4 linked regions of the Notamacropus eugenii genome follow. The protein of the gene in region 1 purifies or fractionates together with the protein of each later gene. This does not show direct contact. Links are inferred from orthologs where the notes say so. Each region holds a gene or a part of one and is shown in the gene's direction. Other genes may lie near its edges. The genes, in order: CLGN, SLC9A6, PTPRU and TCTN2.

Evidence for each region.
Region 2: the proteins of CLGN (region 1) and SLC9A6 purify together in Homo sapiens (co-immunoprecipitation; 3 studies listed by BioGRID and IntAct, with this or other methods). This does not show direct contact. The link is inferred for Notamacropus eugenii from reciprocal best matches to the Homo sapiens genes CLGN and SLC9A6.
Region 3: the proteins of CLGN (region 1) and PTPRU purify together in Homo sapiens (affinity purification with mass spectrometry; 3 studies listed by BioGRID and IntAct, with this or other methods). This does not show direct contact. The link is inferred for Notamacropus eugenii from reciprocal best matches to the Homo sapiens genes CLGN and PTPRU.
Region 4: the proteins of CLGN (region 1) and TCTN2 purify together in Homo sapiens (affinity purification with mass spectrometry; 3 studies listed by BioGRID and IntAct, with this or other methods). This does not show direct contact. The link is inferred for Notamacropus eugenii from reciprocal best matches to the Homo sapiens genes CLGN and TCTN2.

The regions. Positions count from the first base shown.
Region 1 is NC_092877.1:137,228,119-137,235,836, reverse strand, and holds the start of CLGN (calmegin), read left to right. Parts: upstream 1-4,718; 5' UTR 4,719-4,837; intron 4,838-5,126; exon of another isoform or gene 5,127-5,218; intron 5,219-7,718. UniProt on the Homo sapiens protein: Functions during spermatogenesis as a chaperone for a range of client proteins that are important for sperm adhesion onto the egg zona pellucida and for subsequent penetration of the zona pellucida.
Region 2 is NC_092879.1:57,255,540-57,263,056, forward strand, and holds the start of SLC9A6 (sodium/hydrogen exchanger 6), read left to right. Parts: upstream 1-4,501; 5' UTR 4,502-4,577; coding exon 4,578-4,905; intron 4,906-7,517. UniProt on the Homo sapiens protein: Endosomal Na(+), K(+)/H(+) antiporter. Mediates the electroneutral exchange of endosomal luminal H(+) for a cytosolic Na(+) or K(+).
Region 3 is NC_092876.1:70,423,283-70,431,090, forward strand, and holds the start of PTPRU (receptor-type tyrosine-protein phosphatase U), read left to right. Parts: upstream 1-4,803; 5' UTR 4,804-4,919; coding exon 4,920-4,992; intron 4,993-7,808.
Region 4 is NC_092875.1:38,956,553-38,963,533, forward strand, and holds the start of TCTN2 (tectonic-2), read left to right. Parts: upstream 1-3,973; 5' UTR 3,974-4,132; coding exon 4,133-4,229; intron 4,230-5,893; coding exon 5,894-6,001; intron 6,002-6,296; coding exon 6,297-6,373; intron 6,374-6,981.

The DNA.
Region 1 (7,718 bases):
AGAAGGCAAATCACTCCAGTCTCTTTGCCAAGAAAATCCTAAATGGGGTCACAGTCACATGACTGAAAAAAGACTGAACAAATGTCTTAGTGTACATGTAAATTAGATTTGGTTGGTTGGTTGTTGTCCCTCGTTCTTGAAGAAGACCAAAATGACATCGTCATGATAAAGTAAAATTTCAGTGTGAACAACTATGGCTGATCAGACCAATATGAGCTTGGAATGTTCTACCATGGATTGGGCACAGATCATCTATATGAACATTTGATGTGGATACTCCAGATTTCTGCATCCTATGTTTCCTTTGTGCTGTCTCAATTCTGCTTTGCTCATAGAGCACAGTACCCTTTCTGATGTGGGTATGCTGAGTGGTCACAGTCAAACCCAAAGTTCTTGAGAGAGACCTTTACAATGTCTTTGTATCGCTTCTTCTGACCACCATGTGATTGCCTATCCCATAAAATAGTTGTTTTGGCAAGAGTACATTTTGCATTCAAACAACATGGCCAGCCCATTGGAGTTGGGCTCTCTGAAGCATAGTTTGAATACTTGTCAGTTCAGCTCGAGCAAAGACCTCAGTGTCTGGTACCTTATCCTGCCAGGTGATCCTCAGAATCTTCCTAAGACAGTTCAAATGGAAGTGATACAGTTTCCTGACATGGCAGTGACAGATTATCCATGTTTCACAGGCATACAACAATGAGGTCAGCACAACAGCTCTGTAGACCTTCAGTTTGGTAGTCAGTCTAATACCTCTTCTCTCCCCAACTTTTCTTCAGAGCCCCCCAAATACTGAGCTAGCTCTGGCAATGTGTGCATCAACCTCATTGTCAATGTGTATATTCCTGGAAAGTACACTACCAAGGTAAGTGAACTTACCCACAGCATTTGAAACTTCTCCATTTGTTGTAATTGATGGTTCCACATATGGATGGTGGTGGCTGATGGAGCACCTGTGTTTTCTTGGTGTTATTAGGCCAAAACTAGCATAGGCAGCAGAGAATTGATCCATACTTTGTTGCATCTCAGCTTCAGAGGTTGCATTGAGTGCACAATCATCTGCAAACAGAAAATCATGCACCACTACTCCCTCCCTTTTGGTCTTGGCTTGTAGCCTTTTCAAATTGAGGAACTTACCATCAGCATGGTAGTTGATGCTGATGCCATGTTCATCCTCATTGAAAGCATTTGACAACATGGCTGAAAACATTATGCTAAAAAGCATGGGAGCAAGCACACAGCCCTGTTTCACTCCACTGGTGACTGGGAAGGCACAAGAGCTTTGTCCATTATCCAGAATCCAGGCAAACATGCCATCATGAAACTGACGTACAATACTGATGAATTTCTCTGGGCAACCAAATTTTGACATAATTTTCTATAAGCCCTCATGACTAACAGTGTCAAAGGCCTTGGTTAGATCTACAAGTGTTGTATACAGACCTCTGTTCTGCTCCTGGCATTTCTCCTGGAGTTGTCGGGCAGCAAACACCATATTGACTGTTCCTTGGCCCTTTCTGAAGTCACATTGGCTTTCATGTATATGACCATCTTCCACATGAGGGCTCAGCTTATTAAGAAGGGCTCTAGCAAGAATTTTGCCAGCAATGACTAAGAGACAGATCCCCCTGTGATTGCTGCAGGACAATCTATTCCCTTTACCTTTATGGAGACGAAAAATGGAAGCATCCTTGAATTCCTGGGGGATAACCTTCTCTTGTCACATAACCTGGAAAATTTCAGTCAGCTTTTGTATGAGCAACGGTCCCCCTACCTTGTAAATCTCACCTGGAATAGAATCAGCACCAGGTGCTTTGCCACATGAAAGGAGCCTATGGTCCTCAAAACCTCTTTTTCAGTTGGAAGTTCAGCTAAAGAGGGATTGACTACAACCTGAGGTAAACTGTGGAAGTGTTCAGCCCATCTCTCTAGGATCACGTCCTTAGGTTTGGTAGAATAAGTTTCAAACCTAGACTCTGAAACCTGACAAAGGAACGCATATGTATATATATGCACACATATATGTATACACACATGTATTTATTTCCCCAGCGTGAGAATCTGCATTTTCTGTTAAAGGCAGCAATATCAATTCACTATTAAAAGCCTGTTTATAAGTAATATAATTTAACAGGCATGTGGTACACCAAAGATTTATATAAGTAGATAGTTTCCTGCAAATATACGTGTGGCAATGTCTGAATGCGTTCCTCTCCCAAATTCTAGTAAGGACAAATAAAAACTTTAGTAAAAATATAATAGCAATTACATATTACTAGTTTCTTTTACCACAAATTATATTAATTTAGATTTTTCCAAATGGGGGACGGAGATAGAAAGATCAGGACAGATTCTAACACAGAAAATATGCAAAATACAGTAAATTATTCCTATAGAAATAAATACATTCAACATAAATGCCCACTAAGACAATCCTTCTTGTAATATGTGAGAAGACAAAACAGTAGCAATTACATCATCTGCGGCAGCCAAAACTTATTAATTTCTAATGCTTTTCCCTTCGAACAATCATTATTTCTTGAATTGGCTGGCACATACAATGACGATTCAGACAGGACTCTTGCTAGTGGGAATTTCTCATAAGTTTACTGCTGATAGAAGTGGATACATTATGGAAGAAAAATACATAATTTGACAAAGGCCATTACTTAATGTTGTTGGGAACAGGAAGAGGAATAAAAAGTGGCCATCAATCATATACTAAGTGGGATATCAGTTGAAGATAACATATCACTACTTATAGTACATGTTATGAATACAATTTATTTTAAGAATTTATTGAAATAAAACATTTACTTTTATACAAGATCAACAGAACACTTTCTTTACAATACTTTGAGAGGGGTAGTACAAGTTTTATTATACCAATTTTGGCAAATTCTGATTTTTTTTTCCTTTACTGAGTGGGAAGAAGGAATCATTTCAGGTCAATTCCACTAAAAAGGTACCTCATTGCTTCCCTCCCTGTCCCTTACCACATCCTGCTTCTTGTGTATGGTGTGCCCCATGTCTGACCAAGCTCTAAGCACCTCACACCACCTGCTTCAGCCACCTTCATGGCCACTGCAACAAATTGTTCTCATTTGCCCATTCCACCAGGGGAAGTCTCTGCATGCTTGGGGTAGACACTCCCCCTAACTCATTGGCAGTTTTGAGGCTTTCTGGCCATCCTCAACCTGGTTTTTCCTCTCTGCTGACCAGGCTACTCAATCTCAGTTTCCTCTCCTGTAAAATGTGAATAATTGTTAACTGTGGAAATAAGATAACCAAACGTAGAAGTGATTTCACTGATAGAACAATTCGCTTCAACAACCCAATTCACAGTCATCTAGGTTCTTTCAAAAACTGGACAGACAGATATCTCACCCAATGTCTTACAGGCCCTTCTCCATCTCTCCTAAAGTTGACAGGGTTGTCCACTTGTCATCCTTCATTCTTGCCATACGAACAGCCTATCTTCTCTCCCATCATAGGGACTGGGATTTCATTGGTTTGGGGAATTCCCACTTAAGCGAACTTCCTCTACCAACACAGCCTGTTCCTTTCTCTGAAATGCAGAGCTGCCTAGAACAGTGTGAAAATCAGCTAGAAACAGAGCGCCACTAAACCTTCCCCGGGATCCCGGTAAGCTCCCTCCTGGTTGAGTTTCACAATGTGGTATTATGTCATTACAGTTTGTTAAATATTTCCCGATTCTGGCTGTGTCTGGCAGCGCTGTGGGTCACGTTGCCTGCCTCTCGTTTGACACCTCTAGCCTGGAATACTTAAAGTTTAAACGGCCTGGTCAAGCCAGGTTTTCCTGACTTTACGTGTATACGAGGCGGCTGGTGGCACAGTGGATAAAGCCCTGCGCCTAGAGTCAGGAAGCCCAGAGTTCAAATCCAGCCTCAGACACTTGAGCAAGTGTTTGCCAAGAACCTCTCAGGCCGGCCCTGGTGTGCTGGACCTGCCCGGAAGGTCCATCAGGGAACCTCAGATGCCCCTCGCTCCAGCCCCACGACACCCCTGACAAGCCCGTGCCTCAATGCCGCCCCGGAGCGCCCCGCTCCACTTTCGGACGGCTCTAGTTGTTAGCAAGCGTCCGGCATTCCTACCCAGGACGCCGGCAGGAGCCCAGGCCTCCCGGGCTGCTGAGCCCTGCGGACGGTTCGCTGCCCTCGGAGCCCTTCTCGGGGAGGCCGCAGAGCGCCTCCCCGCCCCCATCTTCTCGGGTCCGACATCCTCAGGGGCTCCAAAGGCGCGATCCAAACCCTGGGTCCGGGCGGTCCGGAGCCTCCCGGTGGCGCTCACTGCGAAGGCGGACTCCGCAGGAATGCCCCGGGTCAGCCCCGCCGCCACGCTTCCTCCGCCACTTCTCGGGACCATCCCGGGCCGGAGCCCCCAGGAAGAAGCGGCGTCCACGCATTCTCGTGGGTGAGCGTGCTTCCCACGGCGCGCCGCTCCTGCCCGAACTGGGACATCACTTTTCCGAGCCTGCTTCTCAGGCCTCGGGGGACGTTCGCGTCTGCTCCGGGGCGCTCCCACGACCGCTCGCACGGCCGCCAGGCAGCAGCCCGAGGGACTCGGGAGCTGCGGGAGAGCGCGTGCGCCAAAGCCCGTCGGGGCCCGTCGGCCCCGGGGGGCGCTCCCCCTCCCCCCCGTCCCGAGGGGCGCGAGCTCAGGGAGAGCCGTCGCGTGCCGCCGCTCGCGCATGCGCCGTTGGCAGAAGCCGTGAAGTGGCCGGCGGCGACTTCGGTTTCGTGGTGGGGTGACCACCCTGTGGCCGCCGGCCGGACGGGCGAAGCGCCGCCACCGAGGGCCCCCGCCCCGAGCACAGGTGCGTGACTTCGGCGGGGCGGAGGGGGGGACGGAGCGGCGGGCGGGGCGGGGGCGCAGGGGCGACGTCGGAGTTGTTAGAGGAGAGTCCGCTGGGAGCCGGGAGACGGGGGGAGGGAGGAATGGGGGAGGGGCCCTCCTGGGCCCCGGCGAGGGAGGAGGGCTTGAGTGCGCCCGGGGGGCCGGCCGGGCTCCCCCGCCGCCCCCCGCCTTTGCCTGGGACGTGAGGGGAGGGGGAGGGGGAGGGGGAGGGGGCCGGCCGGGGCTGGACGCGAGTCCGTTATAGCGGCGGTTACCATCTCCCGCCTCCGTGCCCGGGCGTTGGGCGCTCGAGCCCCGCGCGCCCCCGCCCTCGGGAAGAAGCGCGCGTCCCCGGAGCCAGGTACGCGGCAGGACGGGAGCCCCCACGGCGGGGGGCGGGGCGTGGAAGGGGCGCAGCCCGCCTGGGATCGGGACCTAGCCGGGGTCTGCTTGGCGCCGGCGGGGCGGAGACCCCCGGGCTCACCCTCTGAGGGGCCCGCCTCTCTGGGCCTTTCGTCTTCGCCGGCCCCAGGAGAGACTGGGGCTGGACCGCCGCGCCCCTCCCCCCTCCGCCGGGCCCTCGGGGGCAGTCCGAGCCCCCGCCGCAGGGCCCCCTTCACCCCCGCACCTTGTCGGCGCTCAGCCCTCGGGCCCGTCCTCTCCCCGGCCGGCGGCTCCGGTTCTGGCGTGACCCGGGCTCGGCGACCCCAGAGGCTGAGGGGGAGGTGCCTGAGTCCCGGCGCGCCCGGGAGAGTTCACCCTAACTTTAATCAGTGGCTCGAGTTAGGGGCGCGCCGGGCAGGAGGCGGCCTGCGGGGGGCGGTCCGCCCGCTCCTGGAGCCGGAGCCACGGTCCCGGGGGAGGGGCCGAGGGGCCGCTGCGGCTCGTCTGGGCTGACGTCGTGGGGTTAGACTCTAAGTCGGGGACGTTCTGTCCGGAGGAGGTGGCGGGCTCTTTGGAAGTGCATCGCTTGGTTTCAGCACTGAACAATTTTCTGTGCTTTTTCATTGCAAAATTAAAATTAAGTTACGGCAACCATTGCGACAGTACCTTGACAGGTGTCTGCTGAGACTGAAGATCTACGACTTGGTGATTTGGGCAGTTGTTGGATTTTTTTCCCGCGCTGTTGTTGGACTGAGTAACATGTTTGTTTTATCCATCCCCCCCTAAAGTACTTGTATCCCTTTTGAGAACTTTTTATTGATGAGTTCTTCCTAGCTCTGGATTACTTGGGTAGGTTCCCGTGCTGCCTCTTATAACTTATTTATTACCCGAATGACCTTGAGTAAGTCCATTCACCTCTGTAGAAGACTTTCTGAGAAGCCTTTTTCTAGTCCAGATCCATGGTCCCTTTGAACATTTTAAATAGAGTGAAAAGCTCTGCTTAGTAAATATTTATGAAATAAAAAGAAGCCGAACATGTGAGAGTGGACAAAACAGAGACTAGAAATAGTTATAAATATTGGAGCAAAAATCAGTTAACTCAGTGGCTGGCCAAATGTTGAATCATTCACGGAGTTTGCAGTTACAAAAGCCAAAAATTCTGTGACTTTGAAAGTTTGACTTGGAGATGGCGTTTTAGACCCATTGTGATCATGGTCCCTGGCTTGTGAGGAGGTGATTACACAAAGCATTTGTTTTATCTCGCTAGTTTACTTTGACATCCGACAATTCAGTTTATTTCCATGCGCTCATTTAAGGACAAACAGACCCTTTTTGTGGTAGGGTCCCCGGATGAAAAAAACAACTGATTATTCCTTTAGACGTTATCCTGGTGATCTTATCAGCTTTATTTTAATAGCCACCCTGTCTTCATGTCAGTAGGTTCGTGCCTGTTGTGTGACACAGTACATCTAGCAATCTCATCATCATGAATATTTGACATGCACAATGTCTTCATGTTTGCAAAGTGCTTTACATACATGATCTCATTTGAAGAATACCTCACAACTCTGAGTTAGATTTCTAAATGTGCAATATAGGGACTTTCTTTGCTGAGGAGAAGGCAGGATGAGAACTAAAAAGGAGGTATTGGGCCTAGTGAATTAAGGCCATTGTTGGGAACAATTTCAGGAAAGAAATGGTAAGACCAAGAACTTGAGAGTAGTGAGGCTGCAGGGACAAGTGTAGATGTGTAGACAACTCTTCAAGAAAAAATAGTAGATATGTGGACCTAGAAGCCAGAAATATTCCAATTCCGCCTTCAACATTAACACTTGTGTGACTCTGAAGTTTGTAAAAGGGGATTGTGTTTGCAGAAAAAAGATTATAAATGAGTTCTGTTTTAGACATGGTCATTTTGAGATATCTATGAAACATCCGCTATTGAGATGTCCAGAAGGCAGCTGGCAGTGGAAGGAGACTGGAGCTCATGAGAGAGGTTACTGCTGGGTATGTAGATATATGAATCATCTCCTTAGAAATTAATTGTTCATTGAACTCATGGATATCATCAGGCAAGATAGTGGAAGAGAAGACAACCAAGGACAGAGCTTTGGAGTAGCGGGGTGAGGGGGGAGAACCACACTCATGGTTATTGGGCATGACCCAAATGAAAATTCAGCAAAAAAGGTCTCTGGGAAGGAAGAGTTAGGTAGGTAGAGAACCACAGGAAAAAGTGACCTGAAAGCCTATAAGAGGGAAGAGTATGCAGAAATAAAAGGATGATTAATGACGTCAGAGGCTGCAGAGAGCTCAAGAAGGACATAGATTGAGAAAAGACAATGAATAGATTTGTCATGTAAGACTGTTCAAATCTTTGGGAATTGAATGTTGAGGTAAGAATGAGATTGCTCAGGGTTTTGAATCTATTGGAAGGAAAGGAAGTTGAGACAGCATATATAAACAGCATTTTCAAGAAG
Region 2 (7,517 bases), on another chromosome or scaffold:
TATATAGATGGGAAAGCAGGCCTATAGGTTCCAAGATGTATTCTTGCTTGCCTTTTTCTTGGTAGTAATAATATATGAGGTTTTTTTTTACATCTTTGGTATCTTCTCCCACTTCAGATACTTTGTGATTTGATTCTTTTGATACTTTTACTGATCCCAAGTTTCCCTATGAAATAAAGGCCTCTATTTAAAAATATCGACATTTTTCTGGTGTTATCATGTGACTTGGAGTCATGGAATATTCTAGTCTTTATAGAACTGAAGTTAAGGGCCTCACAAGGGGCAACAGCAAAACACACATTACAAAGAATTAGGCAGGAAAAGTAAAGGATATCTTCAAAGGAATATATGATTTTAAAGGAAGATGGACTGGGCCATGTGGCAAGAGGGAGAGATAACTGATAGCCCGAGAGTTCCACTGGTACCTTCATGATGTCAGGTGAACTGGAGGAAGGCCCTCAGCATGATGGATCCATGCAAACTTATGAGTCTCACAGAATGGACAGACATGGATGGCTTGCCATCTGTTTCATTAAATGAACAGATTATAGAAAGTTGTGGTGGAAAAAATATCTAACCCTGCCTCTATGGAAGTAAGACTCATTTTTTTCCTTAAAAAGGATTGAACTTCCTTGACGATTGATTGACTCAGGAGACTAAAGGCCTGGGATGGTGACATCACTTCCTGGTCACCTGAGTCACTTCAAGTGGGCAAAACAGTGGGCAATATCAGCAAAGGAACTTAGTTCAGCAGAGTCCATGTGGTGTCTTCTACTCCAGCTAAGTAAATCTTTTGTTAACTGCTGAATGACGTCTGAGCATTTCAGTCTGTTCTAATATCAAGACTGAGTAAGGTCCAGCCCAGAATAGAAGCACAACCCCCTGACAGGGTCTACACTTCCTCTGATTCTGGGGAGACTTACCTCCCTTGCTGTGCCCCATCTATTCCTGTATTATAATAATACAGTGCCAAATGAGAGCTGACTTCAAGTATTTGAAGAGCTACCATGTGCCAGAGGCCTTATAGTTCCTTTCCTACATGTTCACTGGAACCAAGAAATATCTAATTAAATACTTCCTTCTCTCTTACTATCACCCTACTTTTTAAAAAATTCCATTTCATTGTATTTTCAGGTCTGCGTTCTCTCTCTTCCACCTCTCCCCAACCCCAGTTGAGAATGCAAGAGAAAACAAACCCCTGTTACATGGATAGTCAAGCAGAACAAATTCCTGTATTGGCCATGTCCAAAACATCTATGTCTCCTTCTGAGGCCATTCTCTCTCTATCAGGATGTGGGGAGTGTGTTTCATTATCAGTCTTCAGGAACTGTATTTCTGACTCCCTACTTTTAATCTTGCTCTCAGAGTTAATTTTCTGGAAGTTTAAACAGTTCTCAGTCTCAAGTCAGTACATTTATTTTGCTAAATTTCTTCAGGAATTCATTTCCTCAACCCTTACCTTTAATTTTGGGAGTTCTCTGATCTTTACCTTTTTTCCTATTGATTCTTTCCCTGGGGGAGTTTTCTCTATCCCCTAGCCATGAACTCAGTTTGGGTCTGATCCTAGGCCTGGCTAATAATACTAATGATAATACTAATAAATAATAACAATGGCTGGGCACTCTGAAGGAGAAAAAAGGAGACAGTATATTCCAGGCAAGTCAAACTGCCTACCACCCCTTTGATCACGTGATGGAGACAGCCCAGGACCCTGGGCTTAAGAGCCTTGGAAATGGCAGTGCTCTCCAAACCACCAGACCTGTTTCCAGCCCAGCCCCCATAGCCACTCTTGAAGGGAGAAATGTAGTATAGAGGGGTCCACCTTCCTCTTCACCAACAGCAACAGCTGCTAAATGTCACCAACAGAAGACTTAAGAGCCCTGAGAGTAGCAGCACCACCCTCCCCCCTCGCCCGAGACCACCATTCTTGCTTCCAGCCCAGCCCTCAACAATTATCCTGGGAAGCAACTTCCTGTGGAGAAGGGACCATTCATCCCCATTAACTGCCAAGGAATTGTCCCATACAGGATAGGGAGGTCAATGTAGTTGAAACAGCCAGCCCCCCTGGGGGAGAGACAGGAAGTAGCATGTGTCAGGAAAGTCAAACCCACTACTACCACCTTGACCGCCTTCTCCCCTCATACCCTGAACCTTTGGAATAGCAATGCTTCTAGTTCAGTGCCCTCAGCTACCATCTTGGGGAACAATCTAGATGGAAGGCAGCCTGGCTACTGCCCCTGAAATGGCTATATAACAGATACAGATAGTGGAGGCACAGAAGGGAATATTCTCCCCTCCAAAGTCCTTGGCCCCATCAAATGGTTCAACATCAGAAATTGGTATATTTTCATTGGAAATGACCTTAGAGAAGTATTACCATCTGCATTGCTGTTGCACCCTAAGGAAAGTGGGACTTTTTCATTTGACTTACAGCTAAATCTCTGTTGTTTTCCTCCATTAGACTGAGCTCCTGATCGCAGGGACTGGCTTACTTTTCTTTTGGCATCCCCAGAGCTTAGCCCTGTGCTTTGCATATAGTAAGCACTTGATAAGCTCTTTATATATATTATCCCATTTGATCCTGCTTTACAGTTAGGGAAAGTGAGGCAGGCAGCTTTTATGTCACATAGCTAGGAAGTGTCCGAGGCTGGATTTGGACTTAGGTCTTCCTGATTAGCTGTTCCCTAAATACCTATGCTTACAGTTGAAAACTCTTTCTTCTCTGAATTACTTCTCATTTGAACTTCAGGTGGTCTAGTTGACTCAGCACTCCCAGCTTACTTCTCTTCTAGAGACCTTGGGCTACATTTTGAAGGAACCTCCTTCTTTTTGGTCTGTTCCAGTACTCTCTGTGCCCATTGTTTTGAAGTAGTACCTCTAGGCACTTGCTGTGTCAGTTGTAACTTTTTGGTTGGTTTCTCTACCCTGTGGCCTTAAACTAGCATTTAGGTTTATTCCTTTGGTTGTTGTAGAAGGTCTTACAACTATGTTCATTGTTGTTGTTCAGTTGTGTCCAACTCTTTGTGACCCATTTGAGGTTTTCTTAGCAGAGATACTGGAGTGGTTTGCCTTTTCCTTCTCCAGTTCATTTACAGATGAGGAAACTGAGGCAAACAAGATTAAGTGACTCACCCAGGGTCATACAGCTACGAAATGTCTGAGGCTGGATTTGAATTCACAAAGATGAGTGCTTTTGACTCCAGGCCTTGCCTTCTATGCAGTGCAGCCTCACGTAGCTGCCTCCACTCCTTTAGTAGAGAACTCTATATATAGTAGAAAGAGGATCTGGATGTAGAACTGAAAGACCTTTTCTGAAACCTGGTTCTGCCACTTACTCTCAGTGTGACCTTGAGCAAATCAAAGAATCTCAGAGTTTGGAAGGAACCTCAGAGACCATCTAGTCCAACCTGGGCCTAAACAAGAAACCACCAATAATTGCTTATCCCATTTCTGCACAAAGACCTCCCGTTAAGATCAATCCACTACCTTCCAATCAAATGAGACATTATATTTAAAGCCCTATATAATGTGGAAGAGGCAGTTGAAGAGGATGATGAATAGGGCAGTGGACATGGAATATGGAATAACTAGGTTCAGATATTCATTAGATCTGTGACACTGGACAGCTCATTTAACCTCTCCCTGTGCCTTGGTTGCTTCATCTATAAAATGAGGGCATTGGACTCATCTCTAAGGTACCTTCCAGCTGATCCTAAGATCTGGTGTTAGCTATTATGATTACTCCAAGGCAGCCCTCCTTGTTAGGAGGGTTCATGAAATTGATCTTGAGCTTCCCAAAATAATTCTTTAAATGATGGAAAATATATTTGTGAATTTCCATGGGGTGGTGGTGGTGGTGGTGGTGGTGGTGGAATCTTTCTAATATTGATTGAATGTAAGAGCTAGAAGGGACCTTAGGGTAGTGGAGCTAGTGGGCATGTTGTTGTAATGATACCTTTTTCATTTGCTAAGCGTGTGACCTCGAACAAGTAACTTTCCTTCTCTGGGCCTCAGTTTCCCCCCTTGTAAAATGAGGCAGCTGGACTAGATGACCTCTAAGCTCTGACACTATGATCTTCCAGTTTGTCCTCACTTTGCAGAGAAGGGAATGGAGTCCCAGAGATAGGAAGGGACATGCCCAAGGTCATATGGAGTGTTGAAGGCTGGGCCAGAACCAGAAACAATGTCTATTGGCCCACACTGCCTCTTTTCCATGTACATGGGGTCTGTACGGGAAATGATATCACTGTGGCTCTTGCTGGCTGGTACCCAAACAATGGGTGATTAATCCATGGAGTGTAAGGTATGGCGTCAATAGGGGAGATGCCGCCCTTCCCAGAGGCAGGGGGCTGGATCAAATGACCTTCCTCCCACTCAACTGGCTGTAGGGGCCGGTACCGTGGCGGTCTCTTTAAGAGCTCCGGCCGCGAGGAGTGGGCGGTCGCTCGGTCAGCCTGTGCTGGGCCGATTCTGCCGTGTCTCCGCCCCTCTTCCCATGAGCCCTTGGGAGTGGCCGGGGACAACAAACGGCATCTGGTTCGGGGGGCGGATGCGGTGGCATTGGGGCTGGGGGAACCATGGCACTGAGCGCCTGGCGGAGGGTTCCCGTGCGCGGCAGTGGCAGCTCTGGCTCCCGCAGCCCTGCGCTCGGGCGGCTTCTCTGGCTCTTGCTGGCTGTTGGCGCTTGTGGCTGGGCGGGTGCCCAGGACGGTGGCGGAGCCGGAGCCGTAGGGGCCATGGAGGAGGAGATCGTGTCCGAGAAACAGGCGGAGGCGAGCCACCGGCAAGACAGCGCCAACCTGCTCATCTTCATCCTGCTCCTCACCCTCACCATCCTCACCATATGGCTCTTCAAACACCGACGGGCCCGTTTCCTGCACGAGACTGGCCTGGCCATGATCTACGGCAAGTGCCTCCCCTTTGCCCCCCATCCTGCCCACCCCTCGGTCGGGGACCGTCCCGGGACCGCAGCTTCTTGGGGACCCCGGGGAGGAGGGCTGCCCAACCGGTGAAGGGGGGTGGGTGGGGTGGGGGAGACGCGCCTCTCTCTTAGCCTCTTTGAAATTGCATCGGGGTTCCCCTGCCTGTGTGGAGATCTGGGCTAGAGGAGTCCCCTTGTCAGTTTTTGGTGTTCTCCGAAAAACTGATTCGACCTCTACTTGTCTTCTCGCACCCACTCAGCTCTCTGCCCTCGCGGCGGACGAAGGGCACATCTTTTATCTCTCCCCGGGTGGTCAAACTTAAAGCTACGGGACCTTGGGGAACCGATCTGTTGTTGATCCATAGCAATTAACTGCGTCTCCTTAACAACCTGTTGGCTGCATTCTAGTAGGAATTTGTTAGAATCCCACGTCGGAGGTTCTGGTTGTCCCAAGTCAGCTAACGAAAGAGTTAAAAGTTTTCCCAGGACGGTTGTTACTACAGAGTGATCAAGACGGTTAATCTAAAACTAATTATAAACACTACACATCCTCAGTCATAAGATTATTAACCCCTTACAAGTGGTTTCAATGGCTTTCTAGTCTGTCTTTTTTTTTCTTTTCTTTTTGGTTAACGGGTAAGGAGGGAAGTAATGGCAAATAGTCCCCTTGGGAGACACAGATCCATCTCATTCCTAAACTGGGGCCCTCTAGAGAGGTATTGCCGACTGTCTTAATCAAAGATGACTCCACTGGGTGATCACTGTGTATATGTGTCTTTGCTTATGTCTGAAGAAATCGTTGTCGACGAATAATCCCTTCTACACAGCATACAGGTGAGATTGTTTTTTTTTCCTCACTTGTGGCTGTGGCAGGGAGCCCGATAATGTTTGCCCCTTTGCCTCAGACTCGAAGTCAGTTGAAGACTTTGGCTCCCAAAGAGCCACTCCATTCATGAAGTGTTTACCTCTGAGTATGTATCTCAAGGAGGATAAGAAAAGGTAGTTCTCAGTGAGTTTCAGAAAAATGCACACACCCTTAGTCATTTTCACTTGCAAGGTAATGATTTTCTTAGATTGGAACTCATCATAGCTTTGGAAACTCGGCAGACTTTTGCATTATAAATTATCTTTTCCTTTATAAAGACTCCCGAGGGCATAATCCCACTGCGGGATCTGATGCATGAATGTCATGTAGAAAGCATTAGAAATTGTGCGGTCTAAGATTTTTAAGTCTCCCTTTTGTTGCATATTTTGTATCTTTTCACTTTTAATCTTTTTACCCAAATAAATGATCTTCTAGATATCTGGGTTTATACATCATGCTAAAATACTCAATCTCCATTATCATTATTATCAGTTATTGGGTACCCACACTGTGCTAGACGTAGGAAATAACCCAAAACTCTTGGACAGTCTACAGTCCATTTAACAGGACAGATTGAATACACACACATACAAACATCAGTGTCATAAGGTTCTATATGCCAAATTTTTCCTTCTTAGGAGGACTGGATTTCCTAGGTTAGGCTAGAAGGGATGCTATAAATGCTCACTTATATGTTGGAAGCATAAAATCTTTCTCTGATTGTTTTAAAATGTTGCATTAAAAAAAAAACAAACCAGGTGGGTCACTGTTAACTTTTGCTAAATGGATAAATGGTTAAGCTCACAGAGCTAGAGAATTTCAGTTGAAAGGATTAATTATTGCATTTGTGGAGGACACAGAGTAAGTAAGAAGCAAGGAAAGGACTTCTGTTTCTCTCTGTTTTGCGTTTTTCCTCTTATGTTGCCTAATGTAAGAACATTAATTCAATTTTCATCAACAAGCATTACTCAAAGCTGGAGGAGAGAAAGAGGGGCTAGGGCTAGGTTTTTTACCCTTTTAAAGTTTAAGGGGATGGAAGGCAGGTAAAAAAGAGCTTCCTAATTTGTATTGAAGTGCAATGGAGAGGACCAGAGTGCTGGCAGGTTCAGGAAAGGCTCCCTGAGGTGCCACCTAGTCTGGGCCTTAAAAGATGGGGGGTCACTTTCCAGTCTGGGCTAGGGACAGGAGTCCATGCCAAATGTGGTAGGGCTCTCCACTGACTATTCCCCCTCGACAGTTTTTCTTTGATTACTTGCTAACCTCTCAAGGTTTCTCAGTATGTAAAATGGGGGATCAGTGATATTTGTCTACCTCTCAGTCTCAAAGGGATAGTGTGAGCCTGGATGAGAGGTTGTAAAAAGATTTCAGATTCTCAGCACTGCACAGAGTAAGTTTGGTTTGGGGTTTTCTTTTAATGCAATTGAGTATCTTTCCCAGTTTTTTCTTGCTCCTCTCCTACCATCTTAACTACTGGCACGTTTATTCCCTTCATGCCCACCCTCCAAGCTTTAAGATTGAACCCACTGATTTTTTTCTCCCTAGTTTGGAGTCAATTTTTCTGTTTGAATCCTAGAAATACTATTTAGGGGAGGGACCCTTTAACTCTTTGCTTTGAAAAAGTAAGAATATTTTTTGTGAAAACTAGCATTTATATAAACAAATATGGTTAGCTGATTGTTCATAACACACCCTAGAAATCTAAGCATTTGAGTATTTTGTTCAGCTAGCTAG
Region 3 (7,808 bases), on another chromosome or scaffold:
TAGTCCCTACCTCACAGTGTTATTGTGGGGAGTTTCTCTCTCTCTCTCTCTCTCCTCTCCCTCTCTCCCCACTTTCTCTCTCCATGTTGTCTCCCCTGATAGAATATAAGCTCTTTGAAGGCAGGGACTGTTTTTGTACCCCCAATGGCTAGCACCATACCTGGCATGTAGTAGTCACTGAATAAAAATTAATTAATTGATGGATGGATTGCTAACCCATTGCCATGGTACTCTGGCTTAGCCCATGCTGCCTCTGATCTCCTCCTAGGACAGTCCCAGAAGCAACTTTCTTGTGTCCTGGCATCTCTCCCCCTAACAAACAAACTGAATTGATGGTACAAAGTTTATCTGGGGTTATGTTTATGTTACTGGTCCCAGCCATGTTTTGTACTCTTGTCTCAGACATGAAAATTACCTCTGTATCCCCAATTGCATCAGTGTGGTTATGGCCCCGGCTTGAACCCTAGTAGCTTCTGTCTTGCTGTGCTACTTTGGAAAAGTCACCTTTCCTGAGCCTTGGAAGTATGGATAATCCTACTCCCTAAGGGGGGGACAAATAGTACAATGATCATATAGGCACTTGAAGCTTTTTGGGAAAAGTTCCATGGGGAGGTGAGAGGTTTTCTTTTCTTGCAGCATTATAGTATAACTAATAGTGCAGCCTTACATCACGGTGGTCCTTTACAGGATTCAAAGCATTTTCACCTACAGTAGTAGCTCATTGGATTAGCTGAAGTGGTATTGCCTGGAGATTTCTGACATCGGTGCTTTCCCACTGGGAAGGATGTGGGCTCTTGGGAAGGAGTAAACAGAGACAAGAACTCAGCGCTGTTCAAGCACCCCAGCAGAGGGCCTTTGAATGGCCCCTCACAAAGGGACCCAGGGGATAGGAAGCAGTGCTGATCTTGTTATCCCTGCTTTACAGATGAGTTTGATGGAGTTTGTCTAGGCCAAAGCCATGTTTATGTATCAGCACCAGGAGAGGTTAAGGGTCTTCTGGCCCACAGCTACAGGTTGTTGTTTGTTTTTCATTTTTAAGAGGTCCAATGACATCATGGGGTGATGTCTTGATTTGTGAATAAATTAGATTTAAGTGAGGCAGAGTTGCACGAAATTGCCAGCCTGACTAGCTCTTCCAGAATCATCAAAGTCCAGGGTCACACAGGGTCACACAGCTGGACAAAAGTCATTGATTGGTGACGGCCTGGGATGCAGTGGATGACCTTGGCACATAACACCTGCTTCAACTGCTTTCATGGTCATTGGAACAAACTGTTCTCATCCGCCCATTCCACTGAAGTTTTGGGGTAGACATCCCCCTAATTCACTGGGTGGTTTTGGAGGCCCATCAATTACCTTCAATTTAGTCTAGTCTGTCTTCCCAGAGGTTTACCTGGGTGTGTCCAATGAGTATACTACAGCTTCTTGGAGCCACTGGTGAGAGCTAGGTGAAGGTGGACACCAAAGGTGGATGAGCAGTCCTGAAAAGGGTATGCCCTCATGCCAGAGGTGCTGGTCCTCCTGAACACCCCTCCCCTCAACTCCATAGCCCACAGTTACATAATTAGTAAATGGCAGAAGGTGGGGCAGGGCTGAGGTAGGGAGGGGGAAGAGTGCCTCCAAACCAGGTCTTCTTACTTCCAGTACTACATGAAAATTAGAGCTATCCCAGAGAGCAATGGGCTGCCTTGGGAGGTAAGGATAATAGTATTTGTATAGTGTAGGAGTGGGGAACCTGTGGCCTCAAGGTCACATGTGGTCCTCTAGGTTCTCAAGTGCAGCCAGAATTCAGTCAAGGACTGCAGGCTCCCCAATCCTGAAGGGCTTTAAGGTTTGTAAACCACTTTATATAAACCTTATGATAACCCTGTGACTAGGTGCTATCTTACTGATGAGGAAACTGAAGCAAATGGAGATACCTTGCCAGGAGACCCATAGGTAGTAAATATCTGAGGTAGGATTTGAATTCAGATCTTCCTGACTCCCAAGTCCCACATTGTGCCCATCACAGGCAAGAGGCTGGATGACTTTTTTTGGGGGTTGTTGTGTGTGTGTGTGTAGTATGGACTAGAAGTGTTCAGAGGTCAATTCAATTCAGCAAGCCTTAATGAAGTGCTTGCTGTATACTAGACACCAGGAGATAACAAATACAAAAATGACAGTCTTTATCCTCACATTCCTTCTAGTGGAGGGAATCAACATGGAAATAGAGAAATATAAACACAACGGATGCAAAATAATTAGTTTTTGGAGGTGGGAGGTGGAGGGGTAGCACCAGCAACTGGAGGAATCAACAAAAGCCTTTTTTAGGACTTGATATCTGAGCCCAGGCTTGAAGGGAGCTAGGGGTTCCAAGAGGCAGAGGTGAGGAAGGAGAACATAGTTTGGGCAAAGGTGTAGAGGTGGGAGAAGGAATACTATTTTCTGGTTAAGAGAAACAATAGGAGTAAACAAAAGTCCTTGGAAAATACCTAAAGAAAAAAATCATTCTTAAAAAAACCAGACAAATAAGAATGACAGATTAGGGAGCCTCAGATATGCCAATTTGGCTGGAACTTAGAGCTAATGAGGGTAAGGAGTATTGTTCCCTTCTAAAGCTACTCTAAGATTTTGAGACTCTACACAGTACCGTACACTGTCTCTAATGCCCTAGACTCTTTGCCTTAAGGAGGCCAGAAACCAAGGGCTCTGGACATTAGGCCCCTCTCCAAGGCCTTTGCCCTGGGCACTAGTGGCTTGAATTCCATACAGAGGTATCTAGAGAATACTAACCGCAGTTCAAGTAAACAGTCAGTTGCCTGAGGGACTGCTAGGACTCTAGCGTCCTGCAGAGGGAGACACCACTGATTGTAGACTGTTGAAGGAATCATAGGCTTTAAAGCTGGAAGGAATCTTAGAAAGCATTCAGTGCAAGCTTTTCATTTCATCGGTGAGGAAACTGCAGGCCAGAGACTTTGTGAATTTCCCAAGATCTCAAAGACAGCAGCAAAGAGCAGTCACTTTCTCTTAGTAGGGTAGAGAGATTATCAGGAGGGCTATGGATGGTTAGCAACTGCCTGGAGTGTAGCACAGGAATACATGTATATGTGTGTGTCTGTATATATGTATACAGACACAAACCACATATACATATATATATACACATACACATATATACACATATATATGTATGATATATGTATATGTACATATATGCATGCAGTATTTGCAATTCCAAAAAATTATTATTATTTTTGTCAAGGGAATTTCCCCTGCTCTCCTCAAGCACCAGGGCATAGTAGAAAAAAAAATGATGGTTTTGAAATCTCAGAATTTGTGTTCAAAGTCTTACTTTCACTTTCTACCTGTGGGGACCCTGGGTCTTAGTTTATTCAACTATAAAATGAGGGGATTGGACTAGCTGACCTTTAATACCCCTTCCAACTCTAAGTCTATGATCTTACATATTGTGTGATCAATCAAATCCCATACATTTTTGGGGAAAGTGTAAAGCTTCCATCCTGAATATATCCTTTATGTACCTAGTCCTTTGCATGCTACTTCCCCCACTGGACTATGAGCTTCTTGAGAGTGGGGTCTGTTTTGGCTTTTTTTTGTATCTTCAGCTCTTAGCAAAATACCTGGCACACAGTATGTGATTAATAAATGTTTGTTGACTGATCACATGCATATTTGAGGGAAGATGGAAAGGATATTTGAGTCAAGATGCCTGAATTCCAGTTTTTAACTGTCCTTGGCTGTGGGACTTTGGGCAAGTCATTTCCTCTTCTCTGAGGTTTAGATTCTCCATCTATAAAGTGATGTGTCTGAGTATAAGATCAATAATGTTTGACATTGTATTTTAACATTTTATATACTAAGTCTCCTTACAATTTTAATGTTATGTGCTTTAAGGTTCCTAGATATGCCATTTTATGGCTCCTATTTTATGGCTAGGTTACTCCTAGCTCTGCCATTCTAAGTTCTAAGGGGTCTTCCAGCTCTGACATTCTCCATTCTAACATTCTGTCTAGTTTTAACCTTCTGTGTTCTAAGATCTCTCCTAGCTCCGACATCCTGTGTTCTAAGATCCCTCTCAGATCTGACATTCTACAGTCTAAAGGCCCTTCCAGTTCTAACATTTTAAGGTTTAAGATCCCCTTTAGTATCTGCCATTTCATGATTCTTTGACGTTTACTTGAATGGGAACCTTATGGTCCTCAGGGCCTTGTGTATGATCTGACAGGTCTGACAGGTGACTGTTTATATTCTTCTACTAGGGTATAAGGCTCTCTGAATTTGTGTAGGGTTGAAAGTATGTGTATGAGTGAGTGGTTTGTGGAAGGCTGCTTTCCTAGGTGTGCTGTAGAATACGTGTTTGAATGTGCCAAGAGGATAGACCCGGTAAAAGGGGCTGCGGAGGGACCAGCTTCAGGTCCTGGTGCTGGTCGCATGGGACAGTGATCCCAGGGTTGAGTGCCTCAGTGACCCAGAAGGGAGAGTGTGTACAAAACCAAGAGTCTAATGGGATTCCGGACATTTTAACTGACCGGACTGGAGAACGGTGGGCGCACCAGCGGCTTAGGATGCCCCCGTATCGGTGCCGTTCTGTTGTTCCCAGTTCCGTGGCCCTAGCGGTGATTCGGGGGTCGCGGCCCTCCCCCTCTCACTTCCCTGCGGGTTGTGGGGTTCGCAGTCCCTGCCCAGCTTCTCCAGACCTCCGCACTTCCACACAAGGACCGGCAGGAGGCGCCCCCCACCTTTGGAACGCGAGGCCGCTGCTCGGGCTCCTGACGTCAGGGCTCCGGCTCCGGCTCCAGCGCCCGCTCCGGACTCAGTGCCAGTCCCGGCTCCGCTCCGGCTCCGGCGGCTCGGGAGGCTCCGGGGTTCCGGTCTACGCTCCTTCCCCGTGGCCCCGGGGCCCTCGAGGGTGGCGCACGATGACCGGCGCCCAGGCGCTCATCCTGGCGCTCACCTTCCAGCTCTGCGCGCTGGAAAGCGAGACTCCCACAGGTAAGAGAACTGGATCCCCCCCCCCCCCCGCCGGGACTCCCCACCCCCTCCCCGGGGGCCCCGCTTCCCGAACCCCAACTTGTGACCCGGGACCCCAAGCTGGGGACCCTTGGACCCGTGCACCTTGGGGCAGATAGGGCTGCGCAGCAAGGAAGTATGTGTGAGTGTTGTATGTGTCTGTGTGTGCGTGCTGAGACTGTGTGTCTGTGTGTGTCTCTGTGTGTGTCTGTGTTTGTGTGCGCGCAAAATGGTCAAACAACTTGTTTGTGCTACGCCCTGGGCTCCTGGGGGCCCGGGGCTCGGGCCAGGAGGGCAGCTTGGCCTGGAGGGGGTGTCGGCCGGCCGCTGACACCGACATGTTGTGGGTTGCTTTCTGTTGTTTCGCAAGTTCGGAGCGGCTCGCTCCGGAGACGGAGTCGAGCTTCGGTCAGCGCCCCGGGGCTCCCGGTCCATCGGTTTACACTGGCGGGGGGAGCTGGCGGGAACGTAGAAAGGGAATCTGGCCGGGCCTGGGGGCTGGAGGGAGGAGCCGGGCCGGAGGTGGGGGGAAGAGAGAGCCGAGGGGAACTGGGGAGGGGGGAGGGGGAGGGGGGAGAAGGAGGGAAGGAGAGAGGGAAAAGGAAGGAGGGAGTGGAGACGGGAAGAGAAGGCAGAGGGCAGCGAGAATGGGCAGAGAAAGGAGAAGGAAGAAAGGGTCGGGGAGAAAAGAGAGAGCGAGTCAGGAAAGGGGGACCTGGGAGCCAGAGACATCTCGGAGGAAGGCGGAGATGGGGAGAATCGAACAGACCGCAGAGGAGAGAGGAGGCACTCGGGGGAGAGCGGAGCTACTGTGGCCTGGCTGGGGCTGGTGGGGAGTGGGGGGTGGAGAAGGCTCTCAGTTGGGACTCAGGAGGGAGAGCCCGTTGGGAAGCCTCCGAGCTCGCCCGGCCTGGGAGAAGAGCAGCCGGGGTTGGGAGCAGGTTTCACCCGGGGGCACGTCGGCAAGTGCCTGCTTTGGCCATCTCTCCCCCCTCTTTGTCCTCCTGTCCCCTCTCGGTGATGCCCGCTCCTAGGAGGGAACAGCCTCAAGGAGAGGTCAGACTGGGCAGCGGATCCCTAGGGACCCTTACCCCCGCCGACTTCGTAACTTTGTACCCGGGTCTTTCCGCAATCCGGCACAGGTTGTGTCTGAGTGTGCCCGTGTGCGTGTCCGTGTGCTTGTCTCTGCGTGTCCCTCTGTCTAAGTGGCTCCTGTGCCTCTGTCCGTCCGTCTGTGTGACCCGTTCTTTATCTGTGTCGCCTTTCTGTCTGTTGTTTCCGTCCATCTGAGCGTGCCCTGTGTCTGTCTGTGCCCGTGTGTTTCGAAGTGTGTCCATTTCACAGTGGGTGTAGCGTGAGCCCAGTATGTGAGAGTGTGTGTGTGTGTGTGTGTGTGTGTGTGTGTGTGTGCGTGTGCGTGCTTGCTTGAGTGCGTCCGTCTAGTCCATGCCAGTGTGTGTCTGCCAGTGCACGATGGGGGGAGGGACACCAACCACGCCGGTCCTCTTCTCCCGGCCTGGGAGCACTTGGTCTCTTAACCCGGTGGAAGTGGAGGAGCGGGGGCGGGTGTGCCAAAAGGTGATGGCTCCGTCCCCCTCCAGTAACAACGCAGGTTCGCAGAGGGCCATCATGACCACGTCTTCCTCCCCTTTCGGGCTCCCGGGCCCCTGTTTTCCACAGCAGTTTGACTTAGGGGGCCCTGAGGCCTCTAGTGCCGCGCCCCGCGTCTGAGCTCAGCCTGGAGAGCCGAGGACTGACTTGGAGGCTGAAGGAAGGGAGCAGACTGCACCTTGTAACCTGGGGGAGGCCTGGATGATGGGGAGGGAGCTCCTAGAAGGGTTATCCCGGGATGATTCCTGGAGGGGCAGAGGTCACTGCAGCCCTGACCCTCGGCTGGGGTGGCCTCTGGATGTCTCCAAACTCCGCTGGAGAGATTTCTTTCCGCTCCGGTTTGGTGGCCCCCACCTCAAACCCAGACTGTCTGGCGCCTTCCTGTCGCCCATCACAACAGGACTCTGTCGAGATCTGAACTCGAAGAGCTGAATTCCAGTTTGGGTTTCCCAGGATGGCCAGTAACCTTTTGGGCCTAAGAAGGGGAGGTAGCTCCCAGCTGCTCCTATGACCCCCTTGGGGGCTCTATGGTTTCTCCGGAAAATAGATTCCCCCCATCAGCCAGTTTAATGTCCTGTATCCTGGAAAGGGGGATCCTTCTAAAGGACCCTGGATGGGGGTGGGGAGCAGGATCTCTTTCCTTTATTTGGGCAAGTCATGAATTTTCATTGGCCACCTTTCTGTGTACCTCTCCCCTCCCCGATCTTAGTTCCCACCCCACCCCCCAGGGTGGGGCCCTGATCACAGCCTTCTCTAAACCCCTCCTGATTAATAGAAGGTTCAGTCCAACTCCATGAACTGAGGTCATTTGTGCTGGGGGAAGGGAGCTTTGGGTCCTCATAACTGAGCTCTGTATGGTCCTGGGCTCTGAAGCGGAGAGGGAGGGGACCGGTGGCAAGGGAGTGGTGGGATAGCATTTCCTACTTTCCCTCTTCACCAGGTCTGGACTGGGGAGGAGAATGTTTAGAACTCCCGCTGTTCCAAGGACTGGGGTAAAAATGGTCGAGGTTGGGATAATAGACTGGGTTGTCTCAGGAGGCAGAGAGCTAACCCATCAGAGTCCAAGCTGGATGCCCACTGGCTTGGGATTTCTGCATAGATAAAAGCCCAATTCCCTGACCTCTGAGGACCCCTGACTTCTTTGAGATAGTGTACATCCTGATTCCTGGGGTCAGTGTAGACATCTC
Region 4 (6,981 bases), on another chromosome or scaffold:
TAAGATAAAAACCTATTTCACTTAATTTACTGAGCAGGATAAATCTTCATCCATGAACTCCAAAATGGTTAATATTGCTTTGAGAAGGATGAGACCACGTTTCATCACCTGTTTCTGTGCCTTTGCATAGGCTTGTCCCCCAGACCTAGAATGGATTCCAATAATAAAAATAATAGCATTTATATAGCTTTAAGGTTTGTAAAGTGTGCTCTCTCTTTATTGTATGTATGTATGTATATACACATATATAGACACACACACACACGTATATATATATATATAATTTTATCCTCACCACAACCCTGATAAGTACTATTGCGACCTCTTTGTACAAATGAGCTATATAAATGCTAGTTATGATTTTGACATTACTGTTATCATTATCATGTACCCAGTAACTGAAATGCTAAGCCCATGTTTTATTTACTGTACTGAATTGTTGTAAAACTTGGGACAACTGCACTATAGGTCATGCATGCATAGCTGAAGAAGGAAGAGTGTTTAACATACGCAGATCCATTGTATAAATTAGAAAACTAATTGATCATTGAAAGACTTTACCTTTTGGGGACCAGCACGTGAAAGCTGACGTTTGTATTTACACATTTTTTGTCTCCCCTCAACAGAATGTTAAGCTACTTGAGGGCAGACACTTTCATTTTTTGTCATAGCCCCCAAACCCAGAGCACATTTGACAAACTCTGGGGTTATTAGTTACTCATTTGAGCCTCATTATAAAGCTGTGAGGTAAGAATTTTTATTCCTGGTTGACAGTTGGGGAGTCAGGCTTCTGAGAGAGTAAGTGGTATGCCCATAGTCATACAACTAACACAATTCTAGTTATTGAGCCTAGATTTTCCTGCCTCTAGCTTCAGGACTCTAGTCATGAAACACACTGTCTCATAGAGACAAATTTAAATTGTTAAAGCATTCCCCAATAGAAAAGTGGTCAAAGGATATGGAAACATATTCTTCAAACAAAGCCGTTCTCAAAAGAAGAATTACAGACTACTAGAAAGCAGATAAAAGGATGCCCCAGATCACCAATAAGAGAAATGAAAATCAAAACAACCCTGAAGTTTCATCTTCCACCCAAAGATGGATAGATGTGAATAGAAAACAACATCACTGGTGTTACAGAAGACAGGCACACTGACATTGTTGGTGGACCTGTTAATTGGCATAAACATCTTGGAAAACCATGTAGAATTATGCAAATAAAGTGACTAAAAACTATTTTCTTTGATCCTGAGATTCCACTGCTAGTCACAGACCCAAGAAAGTAAGTCATTGATGAAAAGAAAGGGTCCATACACAGCAAAATATTTCTAGCATCCCTTTTTGTTCACAGCATAGACTGGAAACAAAGTAGACACCCATTGGTGGGGACTGGTACCCGGTACATGAATATAATATGATTATTATTACATGATATAACATGTAAGGAATGACAATATGAATACGGAGAAGCATAGGAAGACATGAAAGGATGTATGTGTGATGAAATAAACAACATGAAATTCTGTAAACTGTAAAAGAGCCAGAAAACTACAACATTGTAAATGGAAAGGATAATATCCAGAAAACAATTGAGACAGAATATTGCAAAATTACAAAGAATTTTGTAATTCTTGGCTCCAAAGAGGACAGAAGAGATGACAATCTTTTCCCTTCACCCCAGCAGAGGTGGGGGTCCATGGGTTTGGAATATTGCATATAACCTCGGATTTTTTTCAATGTACCAGTTTTGCTTATTTTTCTTTTCCTTTTTTTCCTTGTCTTAAAAATTCTCCAAGGGATGGCTCTCTGGGAAAGACAAGGGGAAGGAATACAGGAGGATTCCTGGATATAGGTATATGCAAAGACTTCATTAAAAAATCTATTTAAAAAACTGCATTAGATTGTAAGCTTGAGGACAAGGATTTTCTTTTGCCTCTTTGTATCCTGTGCTTAGCACAGTTCCTGGCACATAGTAGGTGCTTAGTACATGTTGATTGATTGATTGCTAAAGGAGTTTTGAAGGGTAGCATAGAGATGGTAGAGAGAGTCAGCCTTGGAGACAGAAAGACCTTACTGGCTCCATGACTCCAGGCAACTTGCTTTGGTGCCATACAACTGTATGTGACATACAACTCCAAGTGACATACCAGTTATATGACCCTGAGTCATTTAATTTCTCAGTAGTCTAGGCAACTCTCTAAGACTATATGGGAGAGGGAATTTTGTTAGTGGGAGTTCCAATATCAGTGACATCATAGTCCAGTCCTCCCTCTAAAAGTTTTTTTTAAGATTTTGCCTCCTTCTTTGTATTTTCGAGACTTGCACCATAAACTATATTGGTCCTCTTGGGTCAGTCTTAATACCCCAATCTCTGTATCCATCTTACCCAGAGAAGAGTTTTCTGTTTCTTGAGAAAAGTGTTGGCTACTGCCTTTGATGCTGCCATCAGGTCAGAAAGATAAAGGGAGTAGAAAGGGACATTTCTGTATAAAAAAGAGGCAGGGATCCCTGGCTTGGCATCCATTGTCGATTCTAGATTTATTCCTAGGATTCCAGTCTTTCTTGGTGTTACTAAAGCCCTCCTAGCCCTGTGCAGGCTGTCACAGCTGGCTGAGCAAATGATGAGCATTGAGAGAGTACCTAGTTCCTGCTTGGTTGACTTTGGTTGGAGAATGCCCCCCCATTGGAGCTCACAGTTGCCTCAATCATAAGAGGTCAAGCCAAACACTTTTAATCCTAGAGCAATCACAGGCCAAATTCCTCTTACCAACCAATGTGTTTAGAGGGAAAAGAAAAATCTACTCTGGGTGGGTGTCACCCAGATTTATAGGAATTCCTCCTTTTGTTGGGTTTTGACTGTAACTTAGCTCTCGAGTTTTGACCATGTCCAAGAATGAGGGGCTCCTTATGAGAGAGTAAAGAGAGTGGTGGGGATGGGTGGAGCCAAACATGGCTACCCATAACTTGTCTTAAAGACTGTATCTCCCAATGCCTCCTCTAACCGAATGAAGCAACAGTTGGGCAAAGAAGAGTTACATTCTGATGTAATAACTAAGACATGTCATGCCTTTGGCTAATATTGAAAGAAATGAGCAGCTCCCAACCTAAGGCCTTACATAATCATAATTTACAGCTCATAGGGGTTTATTGATAAATTCTTATATCTGAAGCACTTAGCGCAATTAAGCACATAGTAGGTGCTTAACAAATACATATTGACTTGCCTAAATACAAGGCATTATTAGGCTCTGTATTGTAATAAGTGGCATAGAGGAAAAAGAACTGGTCTTCGAGCTGGGTTCAAAACCTGCCAATGACATGTGCAGACTGTATAACCCTGACCAAGTCATTTAACTTCTCTGTATTCTAAGCAACTCAACAAGACTATACATTGTGGAGAAGTAGCGAGGGATCTCCTCACCTGGGACTTCTCTCTATCAATAAAATCACAGGTTCATTATCCTTTATTATAATAAAAAGTCAGCTGAATTGTTGACTATGGAGACAAGAACCTGTTAAGCACCAGGGATTCTGAGAGAGGGAGTAAGCATTTATACAACTTTTTTTACAGTTTTTTTCAAACGCGTGCGTTGTTGCAAGTCGTTATCTTTTTATCTCATCTTTACGAATATCTCATTTTTATTATTTTTACTTGTTTATATTTGTTATACGTTGTCATATATATCATATACATACATATGAATAGATATTTATTCTATATAAATATACATATAAATCATATGTGACATATCAATATAGTTTAAAATATAACTATATATAGAAGACACATAAGTATGCATATTTGCCAAGAGCTCCGTCCACCAAGCTCCTATGCAACCCACTTAGGGCTTCCCAGGAGGAGGTGGGCGGGGCCGCGAGGTGACGCTAATGGGCGGGGAAGGAAGGCGGGTCCTTTCCGTCGCTTTAGACCAATCGTGGGGCGCGCTCTCTTCGCTTGCAGCTGATTGGCGGTTGCCTAGTCCTGGGCATTCCGTTGACAAGATGGCAGCGGCGGCTGGCCGGGCGCGGCTGACGCCTTTTCCTTTGCGCCCCTAGCTCGTGCCGCCTGCCGGGGATCGCAGAGCCAGGCCCTGGCATCGGTGGGGCAGCGCGGGGAGGCGAGCCGGGAGCCATGGGCCCGGCCGGGCCCTGCCCGCCATCGGCCCCGCAGCTTTGGCTCTTGCTCCTGTTCCCTCTCTGCTTCCCAAGGGCCCTGTGGGGAGACGTTGGTGGGTAGGGGCGGAGCTTCGGGCAGGGGGCGGGGCCTGTGCTATGGGCGGGCTGTGGGCGGGGCTGTGGGCGGGGCTGTGGGCGGGGGAGGGGGCGCTCGAATCCCTACTCAGACCAGCTCTGTGCTGTGTGACCCTGGGCAAGTCACTTCGCCCTCTTTGCCTCAGTTTCCCCATCTGTAAAATGAGCTAGAGAGGAAATGGCAGCCCGTTCCAGTATTTCTGCCAAGAAAACATGGGGTCACAAAGAGTTGGATATAACTGAAAATGTCTCAACAACAGTTATTTTAAGAGATATTTTTAAAGCTCTTTGCAATACCTTAAAGTTCTATAAAAATGTTAGCTATTATTAAAATGAGATATCTTAACACATTTTACGAACTTTAAGACGTTGTATAAATGCTAGCTGTTATTATTCTTTAGAGATAATATTTGTAGAGCGTTTTGCCAACCTATAGAACTGCTCACTATATATTGCTAGCTCTTACTAATGATAATAAGGATTATTAACCTGGAGGGATTATTTGTAAAGTGCTTTGCAAACCTTAAAGCACTGCACGTAGGCCAGGTATCATTATTATTAAAATGAGGTAACATAAAAAGTGCTAAATAACTGCTAACTTTCGAACTAGGCTTTTGTAGCAGCTACCACAGCTGCACCTGCTGAAGCCTTTTTTAGTTTTGGAATAAGAGTGCCTGGGTGACTGACTGTCCGTACCAGGCAATGGGCAACCTCATGTCCCGAGAGTGAGCCATACGGAGTCTGGTGAAAAGAATGCCAGCTCAGAGCAGGGGTTTTAACCACCTCTCTGCCCCAGACTTCTTTGGCACAACCATGTTTTTAAATGCATGGAATAAGATACGTAGGATTGCAAAGGAAACTAATTATATTGAAATAATTACCAATCTATTAAAGAGGCCAATTCACAGAGTCCAAGTAAAGAATCACTGCTCTAGAGTCTCAAGGACCCAGGTCCACATCCACCTGCGATGTTGTTCCCTCTATGAGTCTGGGCAAATCATTTAACTTCCCTGGGCCTCGGGTTTCCTCCACTCTTGATTGAGGAGGCTGGATTAGATAGCTCCTACTGTCCATTCCAGCTCCAGATCTAGGATTCCCTGAAGATATGTGTTCAAATCCTGCTCACACATTTCCTGGCTATGGGATCCTGAGGAGATCCTTGTAGCTTGCAGAGACTAGATGTGGGAAAGGGAGTAAAGTCCCAGGACTAGGCTATTCCCAGCAAGGGGCCACCTCTGCTGCCAGCATTGGAGCAAAGGAAAATCGCCACAACCTACAGTGACCGTCCCCCAGTGCCTGCCTCCTGGGACTCCCCTCTGAGATTCCTTCTCATCTGTTCATCTGTATCTTATATGGTAGAGTAGTTTGCTCTTGTTTTACCCATTAGATTGAGCTCCTTGAGGTCAGGCACTGTTTTTTGCCTTTCTTTGTATCCCCCCCTCCTCTCAGTCCAGTCCCTGGCCCACAATAGGCGCTTAATAAATGTTTGTTATTTATTGACCCTAACCCTGCAGTCCTGCATGCACATGCTTAGGAGGGGTTGCTTGATTCTCATGTTCCATAAAGCTCTAAGTCTCATTTTCAGGGGTTCCTCATGGTCCTTACATGAGTGGTATTAACGCCTGACTCTTCTCTTTGCCAGTTTTTCTCCCTCCTTTCATTCGAATGTTTGATACTTCGGTTAGTGCAGCCTTGGTTGGAGATACTGAGGATGTCAGTGTGAGCCTCGCTGTGTGGGATGGTGAGCTGGGTAAGGAGGCTAAGCAGCTGGCTTTGGGAAAACCTACTGAAAACACAGAGGGCTTCGGGCCCAGTCTGCCCTTGGGGGAAGGGGAATACTCCCTCAGCCTTTGGCTCTCCAAGGTCTGATCCTGTGACTTCCAGAATTGGCAGTCTGGAGAATGGGCAAAGGGGAAGGGGGCTGCTTTCTGCTTCAGAGACAGCTGCAAGGCAAGGTTATGCTCTCTGAGGAGAACGTCCTTAAACCTTCTGAGGGCGTAAAGGTAGAATGAGAACATTCTCTGGTCTTACCTCCTCTTGTTTAGGGATTTTGCCCATTCCTGATTGTGGACTGCAGAATAATGGGACCAGTAACTGGAGTCTGACCGTGACTCCCGATATGGTATGTTCAATGTTAAATCTCTTCGTTTTCTATTTGTTATTCGATTGTTTCAGTTGTTTCAGACTCTCTGTGGGTTTTCGTGGCAGAGATACTGGAGTACTTTACCATTTCCTTCTCCAGCTCATTTGACAGCTGAGGATACTGAGGCAAACAGGGTGAAGGGACTGGTCCAGCTAGGCTGTGTCTGAGGTGACTTCAGGATGGAGCTCTATCCAGTGCACCACCTGCCGCCCTTCGTTTTCCATTTAGGGTCATATCTGTCACCCCCTCCTCAGCAAGCTCCAAGGCTCCCTGTTGCCTCTGGGATAAACTCCAGACTCCTCTGCTACCTTTGTGCTCTGGCTTATTGTCCCTGACTTCTCTTTACTTACTCTGCTTTGCTCCAGCCTGGCCTCCTTCCTCTTCTCAGCTAAGACATGAGCCCCCGACCTGGAAAGTGCTCCTACCTCCCCTCCCTCTCCCAGGTTCCTTAGCTTCCTTTAGGCAGAGCCCAAGTACCACCTCCTCAGTGGAGCCCTCCAGCAAGTTCCTACCATCCAGCTCCTCCCCAGATTACTCTGCATTTACTTTGTGCTTGGCTTTTACTTTCTGATCTCCTCCTTACCCCC